2 linked regions of the Drosophila melanogaster genome follow. The protein of the gene in region 2 interacts with the protein of the main gene of each other region in a pairwise test. Each region holds a gene or a part of one and is shown on either strand. Other genes may lie near its edges. The genes, in order: Clp and Mst87F.

Region 1 (5,686 bases), on a different chromosome or scaffold from region 2:
AAAATAAAACCTTATTGAAGCCTTGTTCCTAAATGAGTATGTGTATAAATAATGCACTACATAATGATGGAACTCGGTTCGAATTTAACTAGATCCTTTAGGTGTAAAATCGTGTTAGAGCCTAAAGCTAAAAGCGTGTGTATGCATCAGATCCTGTCATACTGAATCGTCTCCTCTCGGAATCCCTCGTAAGCAATTTCCTTTTGGTAAAATTAAGTAAACATTGAGCTTAAGCTAATACCGCGTATGTACACAATACTCGAGGACGACTGGCTGGCTGAAATGGCGGCGCAGGCTGGGTTTGATCTAGTTCATTGGTCTACGATTGTGATAGGTAGAGACCGTGCTTGGCATCACACACCACATTCAGGGCGTAGAAGTCCCAGTAGGAGGTCATGTGGAACCCCATGTTGGTCAGCACCACGATGTACTCGAACAACGCGAAGAAAGTATAGACTGTGGATAGAAAAGATTCATTATAAGACAATAGTGGACTCACAACCGATTCCCACTCACCTCCCGCCTCGCAATGCGAGTTGTGCCTCACGAAGCAGTATCCTGCCAAGCCAAAGGCGATCACATTCACCAAGAACAGATTTCTCTTGTACCTCAGCGACTTCTCCTCGTGCGGCAAGAGCACGGTCTTCTGTATATTCCTGTTCAGCAGGTAGGAAACCAGCATATAGCACTCGGAACACGCAATGAACACCACAAATGCGTTTCTGTGGGTCTCGTAATGATCCGCAGAGGTCCAAAACGACAAGCAGAAGAGGGCCAGATCCTCCACGACGTTCAAGAAGCAGGCCAGGATGCCCAGCAATCTTCTGCTCCGGCGGATGTGTTCCCGATAGTGCTCCAAGTAGATTTTGGCAACTGCCAAACGGAGTGGTAAATGCAGAAATATGGCCAGTCTCCAGACGGTTTTTTGGGGCTCATAGTTCCCAATGGCCGCCGAGACGGAGGGCAGATAGTTGGTCACATCGCAGTGGGTGTAGGTGCTCCTAACGAAGTCAAAGGTCAGAGACCAAATCACGCAGAAGAAGAAGCCTCCCAGGGGCAAACTAAGAGCCACCAGTGCCAGTCGCGCAAAGGGAAGCCGGAAGAGGACGCTTTTGGGATCACTGAAGCGCTCGTAAGTAGGCAGCATTTGACCTTTGGAGTGGGTGGACTACGTGGGGTGTTGGTCGGGTTGGGTTCTTCAGCGGCGCTCGCTCCTCATTTTTCAGTTCCTCGCTCCCAAATTAACTAATGGCTTTTCACGCAGATTGCTTACGTTATAAACATTGCGAAAAGTTGTAAACAAGTGATCGATACCAGCTGACTATCGGCCTCTGGCGGCGGGGGTGGTTCATTATCGAATTTACTCAGTGTTTAATGTTTAAATTTCGAAGCAATTCAAGTGTTGCTCTTGTGTAAGTGAAATTTTTGAAACTGGCTCGTTCATTGTAGATAAGCCCTTTTATCAGCAACACTAACGGGGCGGATACTTAATTTCTATGTAATACTTTAGTCGCCAACAGTGCTGACCAATATCAACTTACTTTTGTAGCTAAATAGCTAAAATGTTATTAATGGCGGTTTAGTTAAATAAGGTCATAAAAACAAGTATTTTCTTACTATGACTAATCTTATAAATTAAAAACATTTGGAGACTAAAAATATTTATATACAAATATCTATTCCCTGAAGTGGACAGATTTGGCTAATAAACAGCTAGACGGCCATGACTGTCTTGCCTTGCGAACTATCGATATCGATAACGCCGGTTGCGTGTCAGCACTATTCGCACTGAAACAACAAACACGCGCAAAAAAAGAAGAAGGAAACTGCATTGTTTACCAGATTTCGGAGTTTTTCCTCATCTATCCGAGCATCCGCGAATCCGTCAGAGATGGACATCCTTTTGGCCAACGTAAGTGGGCTGCAGTTCAAGGCGGAGCGGGACCTCATCGAGCAGGTGGGTGCCATCCCGCTGCCGTTCTACGGCATGGACAAGTCCATTGCGGCGGTCTGCAACTTCATCACCAGGAACGGACAGGAGTGCGACAAAGGGAGCGCCTGTCCCTTCCGACACATTCGCGGGGACCGGACGATCGTGTGCAAGCACTGGCTGAGAGGACTGTGCAAGAAGGGCGACCAGTGCGAGTTCCTGCACGAGTACGACATGACCAAGATGCCCGAGTGCTACTTCTACTCGAGGTTCAACGCCTGCCACAACAAAGAGTGTCCCTTTTTGCACATCGACCCGCAGAGCAAGGTGAAGGATTGTCCGTGGTACAAGAGAGGCTTCTGCCGCCACGGTCCCCACTGCCGGCACCAGCATCTGCGCCGTGTCCTGTGCATGGACTACCTAGCCGGCTTCTGCCCCGAGGGCCCGTCCTGCAAGCACATGCATCCGCACTTCGAGCTGCCCCCGCTGGCGGAACTGGGTAAGGATCAGCTGCACAAGAAACTGCCCACGTGCCACTATTGCGGCGAGCTGGGCCACAAGGCCAACTCGTGCAAGCAGTATGTGGGCAGCCTGGAGCATCGCAACAATATCAACGCAATGGATCACTCCGGCGGACACTCGGGCGGCTACTCTGGACACTCCGGCCACATCGAGGGTGCCGATGACATGCAATCCAATCACCACAGTCAGCCGCATGGTCCCGGCTTCGTCAAGGTGCCCACGCCCCTGGAGGAGATCACCTGCTACAAGTGCGGGAACAAGGGCCACTACGCGAACAAGTGTCCCAAGGGTCACCTCGCCTTCCTCTCTAACCAACATAGTCATAAGTAGGACGCTCTGCTCTGTATGATTAGACTGTAAGAGTGCAGAAATAAAGGTCGAAAGCGGTCTGCATAGTCCGCTGTGTAGTCCAGAGGTCGTAGGTTCCCAACTTCCGCAGGCGAACGTTTCAATCATTCTGTGTTTAAAGTGTATGTTAAGAAACTCATTTGCATTTTTGAAAAAAGTCCCTAGAACTGCCAGTAGAACGTATTGTGTTATCAGCGAAATAAACTTCCATAAGATACAAGTAAGCAATTCGTTTTGGAAGGGAGTTTAGTTGTATGTTTTGGGTTTTCTCCAAAAATATAAATGTATCATGTTTTTTCGTTTGTAAGATAACAATTTGTGCCTCACAATTTTTTTTCGGATTCAAGTTTCGAATTTTTGGGCGGCGAATCGTCTTTTCCAAGTTTGCAACCACTCTAGAGTTGCCTCACTTTTGTCCACATCTTTTGAAAGGCGAATTAGAACTGGTCACACTGGCTTGTCTGGATCGAGATTTCAGCTCGTCAACAATTGCGCACTAAATTTTCAGTAAAAACAAACAAGTTGGTCGTGCGGAGGCATCAAGAACACAGCATACGAGCAGCCATGACAATTCTGGGAAAACTGCGGGGACAGCCCACGGACCAGGAGAAGGTGCCCCTGCCCATGAACCTCAACGACGAGGCGCTCATGCACCATGGCTCCCTAATCGCAGTGAGTTTTGCTTGGCATCGCATCTGCGGGATGTGTCCTTATTTTTGCGCAATCGTGCTATGTCCTTGTCCATCCCTCGCGCCCTGCCCGCCACCGTGTCCTTCGTCCTGCGGCCCGAGAGCCACAAGTCTCGTGATGGGTGGGTGGTTGGTGCTGATTCCGATTCGGAATCCATTCCGAATTACAGCCTCAGCAGCAGCAGCTCGCCATCGATTTTTCCCCGACCAAGCTCCGCACTCCTTGGTGTCCTTGTGGCCCGTGCTTCCCCTTACCCCCCTGCCCGCATGCAACCCCTGCTCCACTCCAAGTGACGTGTGCCCATTCACTTTCCTGGGCTTTCCGCGCCAAGGACTCGCTCGCTCGCTCCCCGAGGTCAGCGCGAAGGGTTTTCCTGTTGCTGGTGGAGATTGGCCCTGACGGCTGGGGAAAGCCACTTACGGTGCCAGTTGCAGCCCTTTGTGAGCTGCTGACACTGTGCACTTTGACCTCGATTCGTGTGCACGGGTATCCAGAGAAAGTCGTGTCTTATCAGCTTGCTGGTCATAAGCACAATCATTCCCAGCTGCCAGCTCCCATCTCCCATCTCCCAGCATATTTGCCCATCTGCAGTTTATTTATTTAGTGTAGATATCACTAATTTTCCAGAGATTTATATACAATCATACATTTACATATGAGTTATGCACTACATAGTCGAATAAGGTCCACTCTAGTGCATGCAAATGCCTTCAATTGATTAATTTTTTGCAAGGGGATCTCTTCTGACCCCTCCTTAGACTAATCTCTCGCTAACGACGTATCTTTCGAAACAATTTTGACTTAGCAATGCAATTGCATTGTTTATAGAACAAGAGAAGGCATTGCAGTGAAAAATTATCTTGCTGAGCTGGCGGAAAATATAAATGTGTGATTAATATTCAGCAAGCTCAAACCTTTCGACTTGTGGAACTTCCACTATCAACATTACAGTCAACTGCCTTCTATTTGTATTTTTCTACGACTTATCGTCGTTTTTATGACTTTCCACTGGAACAATGGGTGATAAGGAAACAGATATAACAAGTCGGTCATTTTAGATAACTTTAGATTGTATATAAAACTGCTACTTTTCCATTGCAATTTGTTGTTCCTACAAAATTGCAAGTGACACTTAGAGGAGTATCCCATATTTTTAAAACCCCCCATTTTCCACACACAGCCCAAGGTTGCTTACAGCGATAATGAAGCCGACGCGGAATCCATGGTCTTCAACCGGCCGCAGCACCATTGCATCAAATCCTTTCTGCTGTTCCTGATCGCCGTAGTCGTGATGCTCCTGGGTGTCCTGGGCGGATGGACCCTGTACCGAGTGTACGCTCCGTCGCATAGCAGCATGCGCTACCACGCCCTGTGCGAGATCCCCTATCCGGAGGACTCGATGGAGATGGCGCGGGTATATCCGCGCACCGTGGAACCGTTCGCCCTGAACTGGCGCTCCTTGCTACCCGAGCTCGCGCAACCGATGCCCAACAGTGGATCGCTGGACGAGAGCCACTTCCGCGAGGACATCGAACTGGACGGTGACAGCGATGACGAGGGCTACGCACGCGTGGACGTGCCCGACTTCAAGGATGGACGTCGTGGTCGCTTCATGCACGACTTCAAGGAGAACCAGTCGGCCATTATCGACACTACCACCGGACGGTGCTTCATCATGCCCTTGGATCGGGACACGACCCTGCCCCCGACCAGCTTTGTGGATCTCATAAAGAAGATGAGCACTGGCTACTACAACATAGATACGGAGCGCGTGCGGCGCCAGATGCGTGTGGTCATGCCCCGCATCACCGATGTCTCGCTCATCTCGGAGCGGATTGCCAACGAGTGCTTCGATATGAAGGTCTACATGATGGAGAAGTTCGTCTCAGGCGGTGAGTAGCAATGTCTTACAGGTGCCAGCAACTTACTGATCCATTCCCATTCCTCGACCCATTACAGTCTCGAAGAGATCGGCTGATCCGCTGCCGGAGTCAGCCAAGTACGCCGAGTTCATGGGCAAGGGCGTCATCGAGTACGACCTGGCCAACATCGCCGAGGTGGAGGCCTACGAGGCCAACGAGGCTAGGCAACAGGCCTGAGCTTTGGAGGAGGAGGAGGATCTTTTAAGCTACAACACCCATATGATAACACAACCTAAACAAATTATTACTTAGAATCGATTTATACATACACAGA
Region 2 (17,150 bases):
GAGACTATTAATAGACACGCGCGCACTAGCTTTTCAGTATCAGTATGAAGTTCAGGGAAATCCACTCGCTACGAACAGCTGATCGCCAAGGTTGCTGCGCGGCCGGCGCTGATGACGTCGCCTAACGGAAAGCTTTCCCACTCAATCGAGTGATTCGAACTGAAAATGCAATTGGGCGGATCGTCTTGTCCAGCTCGGGACTCCATTCCATTCAATCTGATTCGATTGACCCGCCTGCAATCAGATCTTCCCAGGAACCCACACACGCGGTGACCCAGTTAACTTGTTGTCGCCGATATGAATGAATATCGCTTTCAGCCACAGAATGTGTATAAGCCAACTCATGTTCAACCAAAAAAAAAAAGCAGCCAGCACAAGTCACGGGCGAAGAAAGATGGGCGAAACTCTGAATACCCTGTAAAATGAATCCTGAAGCAAAAATATTCTGGAATCTCGATATTCAATTTTGATTATTGTTTTTTAAAGTCATATGCTTGACCTTGTGCCATCAATATATTTTAAATATAAATTGCAGTTTTAAATCTAATCAAGCCTTTTATATCTTATGGGATTCAATTGGTTCAATTGGTTGTGTGAAACATATTTCTAAATGTCTTATAATAACATATGACAAATTTTTTGAAAATTTGCAGGCCATTTCGCCCATCTCTTCACCGAAATGATGTGAAGTTCTTGAAAGGAAGAGTCTGTTTTCAGCACTTTCTTCTCCTCCGTAGCGAAGTGTGAATTCTGGAAACAAACTAACCCCAAAACGCTCGGCAAGGGTATACAAATTAAATGAGCAAACGAAAATCCGATTCCTCATAACCGCAAGCAGAGAACTTTCTAAGTGAAAGTTGGCCGGGGATGGAGCTACTAGAAAATACTGTCGGTGCCTCGGACTCATCGCCCGACTTTTAGTCAGTCATTCAGAGTGCGACGGGATGACAGACCCCTTCAGTGCCGCCCCCGGATCCAAGTTCCAGCTCCAGCTCCCAACGTCCCACGAGCTCCACACACAGATATTCACTCACACACACACACTCACGCACACACGCATACTGGCGAACGTATAACTTGACCTACATTTGTGCAAGACAATAACAACGAAAAAAAGCAACAAGACAATACACACATACAAAACAAAATAACAAAATTTACACACAACGCTCTGAGAAATGAAAAAAGAAAAGGCAAGAAATTTCCAACGGTACATGAGCTGCTGGCCGGGCCTGAATCAATGTTTATATTGTATATGAATCGCCAGGGCTTCGGAATCGGGGTATCAACGAATTCGCTTTTCGATTCACAGGCCTCGCTCACTGGGCTTTGTTTCTGCCCAAAAGTTATTATCGTAAAATTGATTTCATTGAAGTAGCTGTCTTCGTCATCGGATCGTCTTGGTTTGGTCGACGCTTTTGCACACATATGTATCTGTATCTTGTAGTATGTATGCTATACATCGCTTTCTGGTACACTCCGCTTATGTATGTATATTGATAATTAGGCGAAAGGTGAATAAACCCATTGGCTCGATGCCGCCGCTCCGCGTTCAATTTACACATTTTTGGTATTTTGGTAAAAGAAATCGAGTCAGCAGACTGCAGCCCATGGATCGGCGGTTCCGCATTGGAAAACGCTAGAAGACACCACAAATAGAAAGCGACAGTGGAAGTCAAGTCAATCTGGGACATAAACAGCTCTCTGGATGATTCGGTGGTCATATGGGTCTTCATTGGGGAAATCTATAGTTTCTTATTACATTAAAGAAATAAATGCTACCTTTATTATGAAATACAATTCAAAATCGACAAACATGTTTGTAGTTATCTGCAGTCATAAACAAAACAAACAAGAAATTATAAGAGTTATTATTTATAGGAGTTTATATATTAATGAGATTTCATTGTACTAATATTTTCTATTTGGGAAGTCAATGATGTTGGAATAATTATTTTAAAATAGTACAATTTCAATTTAAGCCTATGGCATCCGAAAATTAAAAAAGCAAGATCGATCGGCTTGTTCCATCGAATTTTCTACAATTTTCCTGTCACCATCTGGAAACTTTACGGATCCCCAATCACCTCCACCAATAATTGCATTCGAGTAAAGTCCACGAGCTGTGCAACAAAAGCTTCTCTTTCACTGACGTTTTTCCTCGAGCGGAAGAAACAACAACTGAAGCCGAAAGATAAACAACAAACAAGCACTCTCACTGCTTTTGGGGCAACTCGAGGCAGAAAGGGTCAATGACATGGTCCAATTTCCAGAAGACCGAAGACTGCAGAGAGATGACTGTCTCCGTGTCGGCGGACATCTGCTTTCCGTTGTTTTCAGTGTAAACAACAGCACCCCAATGAAGACGACAACGTCAAGAGCAATGGAACGCGCAATCCGCCAGCGAAAACAAATTCAATTCACTTTCTATTCCAATGAAAAATCGCTCAAAGCTCTAGCGGCGTCTTGGAAATGAAAACAAAAACACACACACAAAATCAACAACAGTATCAACGAAAGTGGTAGACCAACACCACAACTTTGGTCTTGCTCTTGGTCATACAACCCATTGATCTTCAGTCGCTTTCAAGTGGGGTAAACAACGGAGCACGCCTCATCAACAGCAGCAACATCAGCGCCAACGATTGGTACACAGCGCGAAAATCGGGGGTGCCTTCAAAGCAATTCGTTTCATCAGGGAGGTGAATTCAATAGTGCAGATCATCTTAAAAAATATTAAATATGTAGTTATATCAAACCTATTAACAACTATGGAATTTCCTTTAATATATACACCATTTTGTGCGATATCCTTGAATCCTTTTGGACCTCTCCAAGCACGTCCAAATTCTTTCAGTGCGTCATTTGAAAGCGACTCTCAAACTGTTGTTGTCTTTTTTGGCTTTAACGGTTTCCGTTTTTTGTGTTAGTTGTTGTTTGTTTGTTCAGCCAGCAGCCACACTTGCTTGTTGTTGTTGGTTCATTTGAATATCTAGTGAAAATTTCACCCAGACAAGTGCCTTTTGTTATATATTCAGTTTCAGTTTCATCTCCCTGGGTACCTTCAAAAATATGATAGTTTCTCCTAATTTGCAAATATTTCTTTTTTCTTTCAATTTTTGTTTTTTTTTTTGCAAAGCCAACACAGAAAAAGAGAGAAGATAAATATTGAAAATATTTTTGAACTTGTTTCGCATAGTTTTGCGGCGATTCACGTGTCAGATTTAACATTTCGGCTTAATCTGGCCTTAGTCATCAAGTGGATTACATTTGATTCACCACAGGGCGTATGCGCAATATGCAGGCTAAATGGGTCGCTTGCCTTTAAAAAACGGCATAGGCGGGCGTTTTGGTTTTTCCCCCGCACTCAATGCACAGACTTTGGCCCGCGGCCAACAAGAACCCAGGACTTAATAGGCCAACAGGGCAAAATATGCAACGTGGGGCACGTACGTTGGATGCAAAAATGGCAGAAGGTGGAAAAGCGCAGAATGAAAAGTGAAAAGTTTGCCAGCGGCAAAAGAGACAGTCGCGTTGAAAATGTCTTGGACTTGGTTTTGCCAATTGCAAATTACGTGCCATAAAAGCCAACAAATGCTGACGGTTGGTGTGGGCCGTCTTACCCTCTTTGCTCTTCAAAGCCCATTCCCATTCGCATTCACATATCCCCCTGCAAAAAAAAAAAAAAAAAAAGTCACCCACTCACTTGGCCACTTTCACGTCTAATGCCAAAACACGTTGCAATTTTCATTGCTTGGCACTGACTTTAGGCTTGTTGGCCAAGTCCAAGTTAACCAATTGCGCAGCCAGTGCCATTTGGCGAGCAAAAATATCTAATATCTGCCAGCGTTTTGTGTACTTACTCGCTGACGCCTGTTTTCTGTTTGCAGCCACTATCAGTGACGTCAGCAGTTGGCGGAAGGAGAGCTGGTGGGGTGGCGCAGCACCTGTGCAAACCTGGCCACTTGGCAAATAAATTGCGTAAGTCGCTGTTCCTCAGTTTTTTTAGTTTCAGTTTCAGCATCAGCATCTCTACACACGCTAACGCTAGCCCACACGCCCACTGGGGCAGCTAGATTGTGTAATAGAAATAAGCACATGACAATTAATTAATAGCACCCAAAGTCGAACTCACGCGCCTACAGTTCGCCGTAAAATCAAACGAAAATAACTTCGAAAGCAGCCAAGTTCGCCGTTTTTGCGACAATTCAATTAAAAAACTATTACACATTGTTTTTGGCCCTTGAATGGGGTACATTAAGTACCAGCTGGAAACTAAGTACATATATGTATCCTCTTTAAATCAAATGTATCATTTTATAGATAAAGATATAGATTTTTTAAAATGATATTTTTCCCTATTGAACAATGCAATTTAGTATAAGAAGATTGTAGATACTTCCAAGTGGAGATGGGAAAGTGAATAATCAGCAAGCCAATTGTGTTTTATAATCTGAATTTGATTGCGATTTATTTATCTGCTTACTATTCATTTCTTTGATAATTCATTAATTATTTTAACATTATATCCCGCCATTAAACAGTATTACAAGCCCATTAGTGTAATACGAATTCGACCTGCTGAAGGTGTCGGCATAACTCATAATTGTTTTATATGTAAAAATATCAAAGTATTTGGCCAAAACAGACAGAAAGAGCTCTTAAGCTTGGAGCTCCCCAGACGGCAAACGAAACGTGAGCTGGCCAAAAGACACAAGCACACACACGCACACACACTGTTACCAAAAGCTGGCTACCTGTGTGTTTGTACACCTGTCAGGTGGGCATACTCTTGTATGCCTTTTGTTTTTCCCTTTAATTTGTTTTTTTTTTTTTTTTTTGGGCCTGAAGCTGAAACCAATCCATCTAGCGCCTCCTCTATCAGCATAACAATTAAGCTTAAATACTTTTTGCTCACTGACTGGCCCCAAAATGGGATTATTCACACTTGATTAGAGGCATGTGAAAATGTATATTCGGTCTTATTTTTTTATTTGGGGAGCTTCAACCTGCATGTTGGCTATCAAAATTCATTCAAAACCACAAAATCCAGAAGAACGAGAGCTGGTGGCTACGTGACAATATTTGATGGCACACGAGCGTAGAGAAAATCAAATGCAGATCAAAGAAGACGAGAAGATCGCTGCTGTAAATGTAAATGTAAATGTATTTCGATCATTAAAATGTTAATTTTGATCTACGTATCCATAAGATACAAGTGTATCTCTCGAGTGAGCTTTCAATGCATTTCGATTGGAATATTTCCCACCTTGTGGGCACAAAAAATGTGAATTCAAATAGACGAAACAAATAAAAATAAAACATAAATAAATACGCAAACACACTTACACAAAGCGATCGAAAGAGACGGGGCTATGGAGCCAGCATAGCAACATACAACAAAAATAAGTTCATTGAACTATTTGTGAGCTTTTTTGTTGCTGTGTGCATGAGTGTGTGTGTGTATGTGTGTTTGTAGAGGTGTGTATCTGTGTTTCTTTAGTTTTATTCGTGGATTATGGTATCATAGCACATAGCTTCTTCTTCGAAAGGTTTTCGTCTGCCGCTTCAGTTGATTTTTTCTTTTTTTTTTTTTTGTTTTTATTTTCATTTTTTGTTTGAGGTGTCATGTGCTTCTTTTGGGTCTTGGATTTCGGCCTTTGTTTGCCGGCCATCGTCGATGGTAATGTAAACTTTTATAATGAAATTAAAATTGATAGCAACACTCAACTGTGATTAATCACACTCATAAGTGGCTTGGGAAGTTGGCCCTTTTTCTGCCAGTCATTGTCCATCCCGGGATGGATGCCCGAAAACCCAGCCCCGATTAACCCATTACTTGCAACTTGCGAAGTCGCGACATTTAATTCGACATAAAAAAGGGGTGCGACCTTGAGACTACACATTAAATGCAAGTCCTCTGTCTGAATAAATCGAGATTGAAATTAAATCTCAAACAATACGGGCATTTGGACCGAAAGTATTCCTATCGCACTCATTAAACAGGGCAAAACTCGTCTGCTTGCTGGCAAACAGAATGCACTTAATTAACTTAGCTTCAAATAAATTACGCTTGCGAAAGTGTATTTGTGCATTTTGTATCCGAATAGTCTTTGGACCAAGCCAGACGATCCCTGGCACATTACTCTTATTTTTATTATACTTCTTTGTTGCACAGATTAGCACCAATTAATTACTGTATCGTATTTTAAGCGAAACAAGTATTTCGCCTTGTTTATTGTTATCTCCCTGGGGACTCTTATCTTATTTTTTTTGGGAAGAAATACAGCCAGAAACCGGAATATGACGTAAATCGGGGAGCTAAAGGCAATTACATGGGAATATTTTGGAGCTGAATGATCTAGTTAGCGATCATTGCCGATTAAATTAGAATAAATAACAATTGCATATTTATTAACAATAAGCCAGTTGAAATCATTTGTTGGAACACTTGCAATCATTCTCAATTTGGATTAAGCAAATTAGTTAACAATAGATACTAATAATAAAGCAGTTCTGGGATGAATGCGCAAAAAAAATTTGCACACGTTGGGCATATTATTATCTATTTCTCTTCCAATTTAACGTTAGTCGAAAAAAAATATTAATTAAAATATCATGAAATTTAATTTAATTATTAAGATTTATAACTTCCTCTTTCGGAGTCACTAAGTTGACATTGCACATGCCCAAAGGCGTTTAATGCACAAAATGCGCCGCAGACGCACTCCCCTGCATTCCCCAAAAACGCCGATACTCCCCCATTGTTACAGTTACCACCTACGGCGAACAAAGCCTGTTCGCTGACAACATAAATAAACAATTAATAATTTAGATATAAATTAGAATAAGGCGAGGAACAACACCAGTTAACGCGGCAGAACTCGTGCCACACTCGACTTCGCCTCAAAGCCAAGTTCAATATCAAACAACACGCGCTGTTCGCGAGCTTGAGATCAGTAAGCTCAATGATCGGATCGCATAGTATCGCCTAGTAAAGTATCTGAAAAAGACGCCTAGTCATAGTTACACACACACATTTATATCACTCACTTACTCGATATCATGCCGATCTGATGGAGAACAGGAAGCATTACGGAGATAAAAACGCCATAAATGGCGATTTGCAATAAATCAAAATTAGCAGCATACAACTTTGGGCCAAAACACACACGCCCTTTTGGCCGCGGCCAAAACTCCCCGCCTCCCTCCACCGACCAATGTACAACCGTCTCACTCTGTCGCTAAGTGCAGGCTGCAATCAATGCCGTAATAGCAACAAAAACAACAGCAATAACAGCAATAACAACTTCCGTATTTCATGCGCTGTAATTTAGCTCAAGTAACAAAATGCAAAGCCAAACTAAATGTTGACGGTGACGCGACGCTGAAACTTTTCAGCTGAGAGCGGGCAGATGCACTGCGCGAAAAACGGGAGTCAAAGTTCGATTTGATTTATTGAGAGTTATGTAAAATCTCAGGCTTCTCAAATTTGATTAAATTTTTGTAATTATAAACTAATGATTTCTTTCTGTGCATGAATTGCCACATTTTTGAAATCAATCTTTTAAATACTAACGATTTAAGTTTAATTCATGAATTTCATAAATGAAACCTATGAAATATAATATTGACAATGTAATACTTAAGCATTGCTGTGATATTGCTGATATGGTATATGTTTATGTTTTGATAGTTCAATTTCCAACCCAACTCTCTTCAAGTTCCTAAAATATCAGATACTTTTAAGCATCGATTTTTTTTCGGTCTGCCATCTGTAAGCCGAATCGAGTGCAAAGTGGCAAGCAGTAAGCTGCAATCGAATACTTGCGGCCCAAAGGCGACTCTTAACACGTCTGCATTCGATGGCCAGCCACTCGGTGCGATTTGAGTCGATTTCGTCTTTACATACAAATTGACATAATTTGTTTATAAATGTTTATTGATCGACTGCTGACCGGGCCCAGACGCCGACTGTTGACTATTGGCCATTGTGCAAATACACAAATAATATGCGAAGCGAAAGAGAACATGCTAATGCAGATATCAAAATCCGCACGAACCGCTGACATTTGCTGCCGTAAATTGAGATACTTAATGCACCTGGCCAAGACAGGGCAATTGTTCAACATCATTTGAGGCAATTTATAAGTATGTGATATTAATTAATTGATTAAACGCCGACGCACACGATAATTCGATTTATTTACAAGTCCAACTCGTTGGCAGAGTTCGCAAATCCAGAAAATCGTGCGATTAGAACTGGATATGCATATCCTTAACTTTTTACTTGTATCATTGTAGAAATGTTGAAATTATCGTATTGATTGCATAACACACGAATCATCAGCGAGAACAAGAAGAAGAACCGAAATGAGCTGCCGGGAATATTGGGCAAAAAATAATAACAAAGGGGAAAAAATTAATTAACATATTTTTTTTTCTAAGTTTGACGAAAGCCATCCCAGCATTTGCATATAATTAAGGGACTTGGTGTACGTAATAGCATTAAAGTTCGTAGATAATAGATGTGTCTACTTAGAAGAATTTAGTTTGTATAGTTTTTTACGAGAATCTATAAATAGTTACAAGAAAATTGAACTAAGTCGTATATTTAGCTTTTGTTAAAATCATTTTCAATTTATAGATGGAGGATATAATGCTATATGCTAAGTTCTAAAAAAAAAGGGAAGTTAAAAAGGGATAAGTACTTTGAATAATTTAAGTAAGTGTTCGGCACACTTTCCCAAAGTTCTGGTTTTGCCCCTCCGAATATATATTTATACACTCAAACAGCTCGAAAAAAAAAAACAATACCCAAACCCAACCCAGTTGCGATCAAGTGACGCAAATGAAGGCACCATAAATTGTATATATATATCTGTGATATATCGAAATCGATATATCCCGGGCAGTACCTGTACATACATACATACATAAGTGCATTATTAGCACTTTCATGGAACTGAAAATGGAAATGTCAAATGGGCGCTGGACTCGGAGTGCGTAGAAGTAATAGACTGGCGACCAAAGTCGAGTAGATCGGTCATATAGATCGGGCATATACATACATATGTACATACTGCTGGCTGGCCTGGTCATTACAATTATTATTACATATTAACATTGGTAGCATTCTTACATACTTAATACATTATTACAGTAATTTAATAACATGTTCTCATGGTCAACCTGCTGCCCCGGCGGAATGGAGTGCCAAGTGGATTCCATCCGATCCGATCCAATCCAATCCGATCCGATGCGAGTGCTGGAGTATCGCCACGCTGCATATTTTAAAGAGCTTACATTGTAGCCAAGAGCTAAGAGGCAAGAGCCAAGAATCAAGAGCTGGACCACCGCCAACAACAACAACAGGAGGTCATAATGAACGACACTTTACGGGCAATCCGGCAATCCGCTCCATTGATGGCTCAATGGGGTTCCGATCTATTCCAATCCTCGTTCCTGGGTCAAATCAAATGCCCCGCAGATACAGATACACAAACAGATACAGAGACGGATTCAGATACAACCATCAAATATCACGATTTTCAGCTGTCACCCCGAGTCGCCTTAGATGCGGATGCGGACATTTGAGATAGCTTCAACTTGGTTCGGCATGGCTTGGCTTAAATTCGATTGGATTGAATTGGCTGGTGGAAAGTGAAAATGCATCGGTCTAATTATAACACGTGATTTCATTGGACGCGCATGATTTATGCGCAAGTGCAAGTGCAAGTGCACCAGATCCAGATCCGGCAACAACAATGGCCCACAAGCTGATTGGATTCGGATTCGGATTCGGATTCGGATTGTCTTGGGGGATGCATAGAGCTCAAGTTCAATGTGGAAGCGGCTAATCCGAGACGCCAGACAAGGCGAACCCTTGAAAATGGAAGCGCCTCACTCGCTATCTAATACAGGGTGGAAAAAGCTCAAGTCGTAGATAAAAAAATATTGAAAGTTAATTAATTAAATTTATAAATTTTACCAATCAAATTGTACACTTTAAGTTATACAATAAATTCATTAACTAAAGTATAACTTTCATAGTTTTCTGATTCAAATGAACTGCTTACAGTTAGTTACCATATCCGACGTAAAAGATTACGAAGTTCCATTTGACAATTGGCAGATATTTCTCGCGGTGTAGGGGGCCTCCACCATGCATCCGATACGCCTCTGGACACCCAAAACCGCAAACCTCGACGTGCAAATGTCTATGCAAATGGGGCACCCTCAGCACTTGGCATCCCCTCGCCATCGCCCTCGAATCGTCGGCTTTTGCACAAACAATTCCATTTCGCTTTTAATTTCTTCGCGCAGCGTTTTTCGTGTGTGTTTGTCAACTAAATTGGGTCTAGTTTATGCGGTTTTTATGAATCTGACCTTAGTCATGATCATGAAACGCTCTAAGCTGAACCAATCCACTTACTCACTGGGTTGCAAATAGGGCATGAATGGGGAAACTCAGTGCCAGTTATCCAGTGAAAAAAAGAGCCTGGAAATTGGATAACAAGAGCAGGAGATTGGATTGGGGTGATTGTGTGAGCTATAATAATAATAATATAAATAAATATGTATAAATAATACATGCAAACTTGACAAGGAGGAATCTAAAAGTACATAAAATGCACACATTGTTGTATTTAGAAATATTTAAAATTAGATGTCTACGGAGTAAGTTGCGTAATTTCAAATCTTTCGTTAAAACTTAAAGGGCTGACACAAATTGACTTCTGCCTTAATTTAATGCGAATATTTTAGCCCACAATGACAGAAGCTAACGAACCTAAATCTTGTTTGATTGATATGAGTTAAGTTCCCATACTAATTCGTTCTTTGGACCGATCGGAAAACCGTGTGTATTGACACATTTGCTGGCGCGGCTTCAAACAAGCTCTAAATCAAGTTCAAAGTCAAACTAATTATCGGCAATTTGGCTAATCAATAATAAAAGCAGCTAGCTAGCAATACATAGAAAAATTCCCCCGCCCAAAAAGACATATGAAACATGTTTGGTTTAAGCTGGTGTTTATATTTAGTTTCGGCGTGTTTTTTCGACGTATTTTGGTTTGCGCCGCCACAACAAAGCGCTTTGACCAGCCAAACTACTTACACCGACTGTCTACAAGAGTATCGTCCCACACAACACACAAATAAATAATTTAAGGCAAACACAGGCAGCAGCAGCAAATCAACGCGAACAGCAATATTTTGGCAGCGAACTTGTTTGATTTGCATAAAGTCGCACAAATAAAAACGATGCAATTAAAAAGGCGCGCGCGTAGATCCAGTCAGCTGATGATGGTTTCGGATTGGCTGGAGTTGGCCAGAAATATGGCCAAAAAGGGGTGGGGGGGGGGGGGCGGTCATCTCCAGGGGGATCGGATCGGCGACTGGAGACGGCGGCATTCGGGTAAATTTAAATATATTTTTTATATGCACTTTGTTGACTTTTTGCGCTTCGCCGTCGTTTAATACCGCTCGGAATTCAGGAATCGGAATCCGCTGTGCCGAAACTAGTTCGTCGCAGAATTAGTGCAGTAAATATACACAAAAGTAAAATAAAAATAAAAATAAAAACAAAAACACAAGAACATGCATGACTGTGTGCGGGTTAAATATGTATGTACCTGCTTAAATAAGTTTTATTTAGCGTGTTCTATTGAAAGGACAATAAACTCTCGGCGAAACGTCAAGGTCGACCACATCGCATTAGAAGACTGCGGATCGATTCTAATTCAGGTCGCATTTGCGTCTAAACATCTGTATCTGTGTTCTAAAATCAGATATTTGGCTAAGCAAATTGCATTTGACTATTATCACTAATCAAAAACCAAACCTTCTTGAAGCTTACACCTCATATTTATTGTCTCAAATACCTATATTTGTGGTTCACGAATATTAGATGAATACGAGGATGAAATAGGGATAGGTTCTATCCTATCGTCTTGGTGTTCTGGTGAACCCTTCTTGGACATGGCCAGTTGCAACTGTCTAGCAGCAAGGGTATCCACAATAGCAGCCGCCACAGGGTCCACAGGCATAGCATGGTCCGCAGACATTCGGTCCATAGCAGGGTCCACATCCTCCTCCGCATGGTCCGCATGGACCACAGCAGGGTCCGCAGCAAGGTCCGCAGCAGGGTCCACAGGGTCCGCAGCACATGATTAATTCGTAAAAGTTCTGAAGGGAGAAAAGGTACGTTTAAATGATATGCCATAGGAATTTTTTACACATTTTCATTTTTGTAAATTTTCACTTATTTTCACTCACTTTGAACCGAACAAAAAGAAATAATTTGAGACTAGACGACAAATTTTGATGTGTTCAGGCCGAAAGGACAAATAATAATGATACAAAATCTGGTTACGCACAGGTATATCGGTTTGACAAGTCGGACTGAAGAGGCAAAGGATACTATATAAAATATTTTGTTTAAAGCATTGGCTAAAGCTTATAATGATTGTATTGTAAGTAGGGAAATGCTCAATCTTCATGTGAATTAACCTTTATATTTCGATCCTACCTATGTAGTTATCATCCAACTTGGTAGGAACGCATCAAGTTGCCACTATTTTTCCAGTGCACTGTAACATATAAACGAGGTAAATGAGATTTAAATTTTTGTTTTGTCGGATCATGTGTTCATTGCACCCGGCTGAAGTTCGAATCGCTGCCGGTTCTCAAGTCGAGTTCTGCGCTGCACTTTTGTTTACTCTTGATTTTGTCGTACTTTTTGATTAAGTGCATGGCGCATAGCCGATTGCCGATTGCCGAGAATCCGGGTATCGGGGCTGAACGGGTATACTATATATGCAAGTGTATATTAAGTTCATTATCTGACCGAAGACTTGTGTTGCTTATGTTTTTTATTTTGTTTTTTCTTGGTTTTTTTCCCCAGCCGAATCGAGCCAAGAATGTCGTCGCATTGAAAGAGGTCAATCACCAGCGATTGCGCCTTGGATGTCACTCGGTGTAATTGAGCGCAATTTATTTCATTTGCTAACGATTTTACGATTTCGGATTTAATTAACTCCCGAAAAGCAGGAAGCCTAGTGGACCAGTTGACAGAGCTCGCCAGCCTCCAAAATGGAACCCTAGTGTTATACACAATGATTATACAATGATTTGTATTTGTGCATGACTGAGTCAGCCGGAGCATTCGGGCAGAAAAGTATGGGTTGCAAATAAAAAGCGCATAATAGGCGTTTAAATGCAATTTTCTTCGCAAAATGGTCGGGCGAAATATCAAAAATTCGAATTATATGTTTTGCCGCATGTTGATTAGAATGTATGTATGTATTTGTGTGTGTGTCGATCAGCAGAGGCAGAAACCGAAGCAAAAACCCCGTCGTCAAACCGCACAGAAGTCCTCTCCCTTCTAGCAGAAATATTTGGGTAGAATCTCGCATCCGAGGAGACGGACAAGTCCAACTCAAAGTCGTTCTGTTTCGGCACGGTGAAAAATCACTATCATAGAAAAAATATATAGCGTAGTGACGAAAGGCGTCTCAAAGAAATGTGAACAAGAGTAGAGTAAGATATATTAAATACAAATCTAGCTTATATTACAAAGTGTCTAATATAAAGTGAATCAAACTTAGTTACATAAATCTAGTAGCGAACTTAGTGACGAAGCGCGTCTCAATCGAATCGGAAAGCGGTAGCAGATTTTAAATAATTATTTTCTTACCACCTAAATGTGGTTAAATGACTTTCATTGAATTTTTCTCTCTGTGGCTCTCTGGTTTTTTTTTTTCAAACTCGAGATGGATGGAACTCTGGTCAATAATTTTGTGAGGGTGCCGCCAAAAGGGCAGCAGACGCTGCTCTAACTTAGTTTTTTCGTTCATATTTGTGGCTGGCCTTTGTTTGAAATAGATTATTGGCAATACATATGTATACAAATATTTTGTATTTCGTCTGGCGACGGGAGTTCAAGGATTTTTATTGGGTTCAGTGAACCAAATGTCTTTCCTCCGGCCGGAAATATCGAATTCGCTTTAATTATGGCCCCTCGCATCAACTTATTAATATAAGTTTGATGAAAAGTGAAACACAATGGGCACACGCAGATGTCATCATCATCGGCTGGAAAGCGCTGAGTACTGCCAGTCAGCCCAGGGAAATCAATATCCGCCTATCCCTAAGTGTGCGCCATAATGACTTTAGGGGCGTGGCCGTCAATGGGGCCAAAGGTGAGGAGCGACCGAAAGGGTAAACGGCGGATTCAGGTAACCCGAGAAGCCGACGAAAGTGAAGAAAGCACGTGCCGCCCCCTAAAAAGTGGCAGCTGATCGCTAAAAAGGAAAAGTAAGGCGCAGTTCTGAAAGTCGGATATATGTACATACATACATAGTACTCTGATGTTAACTTAAATATTATTTAGATGTCTAAATCAAAGTTGAAGAATGCTGCAGCTCGTTTTCTTGCCGATCAATTTGAAGGTGCACAGAGGAAACCTGAGAATCCAATGGAAAGTGGTAATGGTAGTTCTGGGCACGTGCCGCCCCCCGAAAAAGGATTCAGCTGCCTTGAAAAAGGAAAGTGAACGCATCGTGTCGCCATAGCGATGCGATACGATCCCAACCGAGTTGAGATCGAAATCGTAGGATTGTGGAAGTCTGAAACTGCGATTGATCGTGCGACATGGGATGCGGATGAGAGGCAGTCAGAAATTCCTAAGAAAATGGAGCACACACACAAAAAACGCAGCACGCAAAAAAAAGGGTGGAATACAATATAATAATAATAAGGAGCAAGGCAGCCGAGATCTCGTATTATTTAATTTGGAACTGGGCCGCTCTTTTCGCCCATGTTTTTCTGCACCGGTATCAATGAATCGAAATGAATTGAAATAAAATGAAATGAAATGAAATGCGAATGTCTCGATCGCGTGCGGCAACATTTTCACAGATTTCAGATTTCGAGTTTCGAGCTTTTTGCCCCGGATTCTGATTCTGCGTTTTGATTTGTACCTCCTTTTGATCGTGCCTCGTTTTTTCTTCTCCTTTACGAAGTTTGTGTGTAATATCGGGGGTTGTGTCTTGTGTTTAGGCTATAAATGGCATATTAATACATACTTGTGTTTAACCCTCGAGTGCCTAGGCGGTATTTCTGTGCATCATATCATTTTCTCTAGTGATATCTGCCACAGCTCATCCTTAGACGAATACATTTAATCCTTTAAATAGTTGTGTACATACTCAGATAAAATCGCCATCAAAATATTGAAAAAATGATAGCTACAAAAGTAAATTCTGACAAATTGGTAATGAAATATTCAACTCATTCTTAAGAGCAGCTTGCTAGGTGGGTTAATTCCCCATTTTCTTGCCAAATTTTTCGACCAATGCGTTTTTTATTCCCCACTCAGTTGATGACTAATACGCATGCAAGTTCCGCGAAAAGTCCGCCCCCGCGCCCCTCTGCATTCCACAGATAGTTGCCAGCCAAATTGCAACTCAATTATAAATTGCAAAGGGGAAAATGAAATGAATGAAAAAAAAACCAGGCGAAGAGCGAAACCGAAACCAAAGCCAAGAAAAAACCCAAAACAGTCGCAGTGTAAAATTGTAGCTTAGGCAGCGCCAAAAAATACTAATTTATCTGCGAGTTTCGCATGCTAACTACCACACACACAAGCGCAGAAGGAAAAAGAGCTCGAAAACATCAATGGAAATGCCACGAAAATGCTAGTTGAGCTTTGGAAAAACCATGAAATGTGCGAGTACGAGGAAAATCTTCCGCGTTTGTGTAATGCAGGAAGATTTTCCATGATGTTTGTTTTGTATTCGCTTTACATTTTCCCCGAGCTGCTGAAAGTACATATGTATATGCACGCTTGTAAGTTTTGCAATCACTGGAAAAAAAATAGGGCATATAATTAAGGCAATTCCAGGTATCCATAGGTATTATATTTCTTTAAAAAGTACAAATACAAAAGTTGACATTGTGGAAACTCAAACAATCAAGCGTGTTATTGAAAATTATTCAGCATACCTGTTTTTTTCAGTGCTTTGACAATTTTCCGTGGGATTTGCATGTGGCGCCAAAATATCTGTAGATCACCATGTCGATTCAAACGAATCGATGGTACGAATCTGCTGGAAAAGCGCATCATCTTCTCTGGATAGCTTGAGATATCGCAGATGCGAGATGGAAGATCGCAGTTCGCAGATCGGAGATCGCGCATATTGATGATCGAAGATCGAAGATCCGAGAGCGAAAGCACAAGCTCTGTGCGAAAGAAAGCAGGTGAGAGCGTCGTCCGCTCGTAAAGAGCTCAAAACATGACACCCCAGATGGGCCGCCAGCTCGTGGGGCGAAGGGTGAGGTGGGGGGGGGGAGCTGTAGCCGGTCAGGGGGTGGTCCGCTGGTGCGAGAGGGAGAAAGAAGCGAGGGGTAGGGGACACCGTGCGAAAGTGAAATCGAACCTTCGCTGCCGGCGTTTGCGCTTTTAAGCAGCAACAAAAACAACTAAGCCGGGCCGGTTTCAAAGTTTACGAGAGGCGCGACTGCGCACAGTGATTTAGAATAAAAAAAGAAATAATAAAAATGGTGTTAAAGGCGTACGTACACGTATTTTTTAATAATATTTACTTAATATTTAGTGTATTTCTAGGAATTTTTATAGATACTTTAAGTTTCATTATTCATTTAAAACAAAAACACTAAAGAAGATTTAATAATAAAGACTTATGTAGCAAAATAATACACTATGATACACTGTGCGCCGGAGAATTGACTTTTCACAAGTGCAGAGAGTGCGCCGCTGCTGGCTTTAATAATTAATAACAAAAAAAAAAAACGAATTTGTAAGAGTTTCGTTATTTTTACAGGCGGTGAATGAAAATCCGTTTCGGTTTTAATTTTGGCTCCTGCTGCCGGCAGCGCAGCTTTGCTTTTTGGCCCGGTCGTTGATCTTTGTCCGACTGGACTTTCGTCACCAAGCGTTTTGCATACGTGAGCGACCGCTCACTGACGCGCTGGCCGGGCCCCAAATCCGCGAATTATAATTACCCATCGATTGCCGGGTGGGTGGGTGACTTTTCCTGCGATTCGGACGCACTTGCCAAGTGCTAATTACGGACAGGATCCTTACTCGGTCACAGTCCGCAGAAATAAAGATGCAAAGCTCGTCT

What was found.
Region 1: the proteins of Mst87F (region 2) and Clp interact in a two-hybrid assay, tested with the Drosophila melanogaster proteins (2 studies listed by BioGRID).

What each region holds. Positions count from the first base shown.
Region 1 is NT_033779.5:818,188-823,873, forward strand, and holds Clp (clipper), read left to right. Parts: upstream 1-1,776; 5' UTR 1,777-1,891; coding exon 1,892-2,782; 3' UTR 2,783-3,022; downstream 3,023-5,686. Other genes in the region: PGAP2 (Post-GPI attachment to proteins 2), read right to left, coding at 320-456, 517-1,147; CG3662 (uncharacterized protein), read left to right, coding at 3,365-3,472, 4,671-5,382, 5,450-5,589. UniProt on the Drosophila melanogaster protein: Component of the cleavage and polyadenylation specificity factor (CPSF) complex that plays a key role in pre-mRNA 3'-end formation, recognizing the AAUAAA signal sequence and interacting with poly(A) polymerase and other factors to bring about cleavage and poly(A) addition.
Region 2 is NT_033777.3:13,815,300-13,832,449, forward strand, and holds Mst87F (Male-specific RNA 87F), read right to left. Parts: upstream 12,710-17,150; 5' UTR 12,533-12,709; intron 12,388-12,532; exon of another isoform or gene 12,280-12,387; intron 12,190-12,279; 5' UTR 12,172-12,189; coding exon 12,001-12,171; 3' UTR 11,852-12,000; downstream 1-11,851.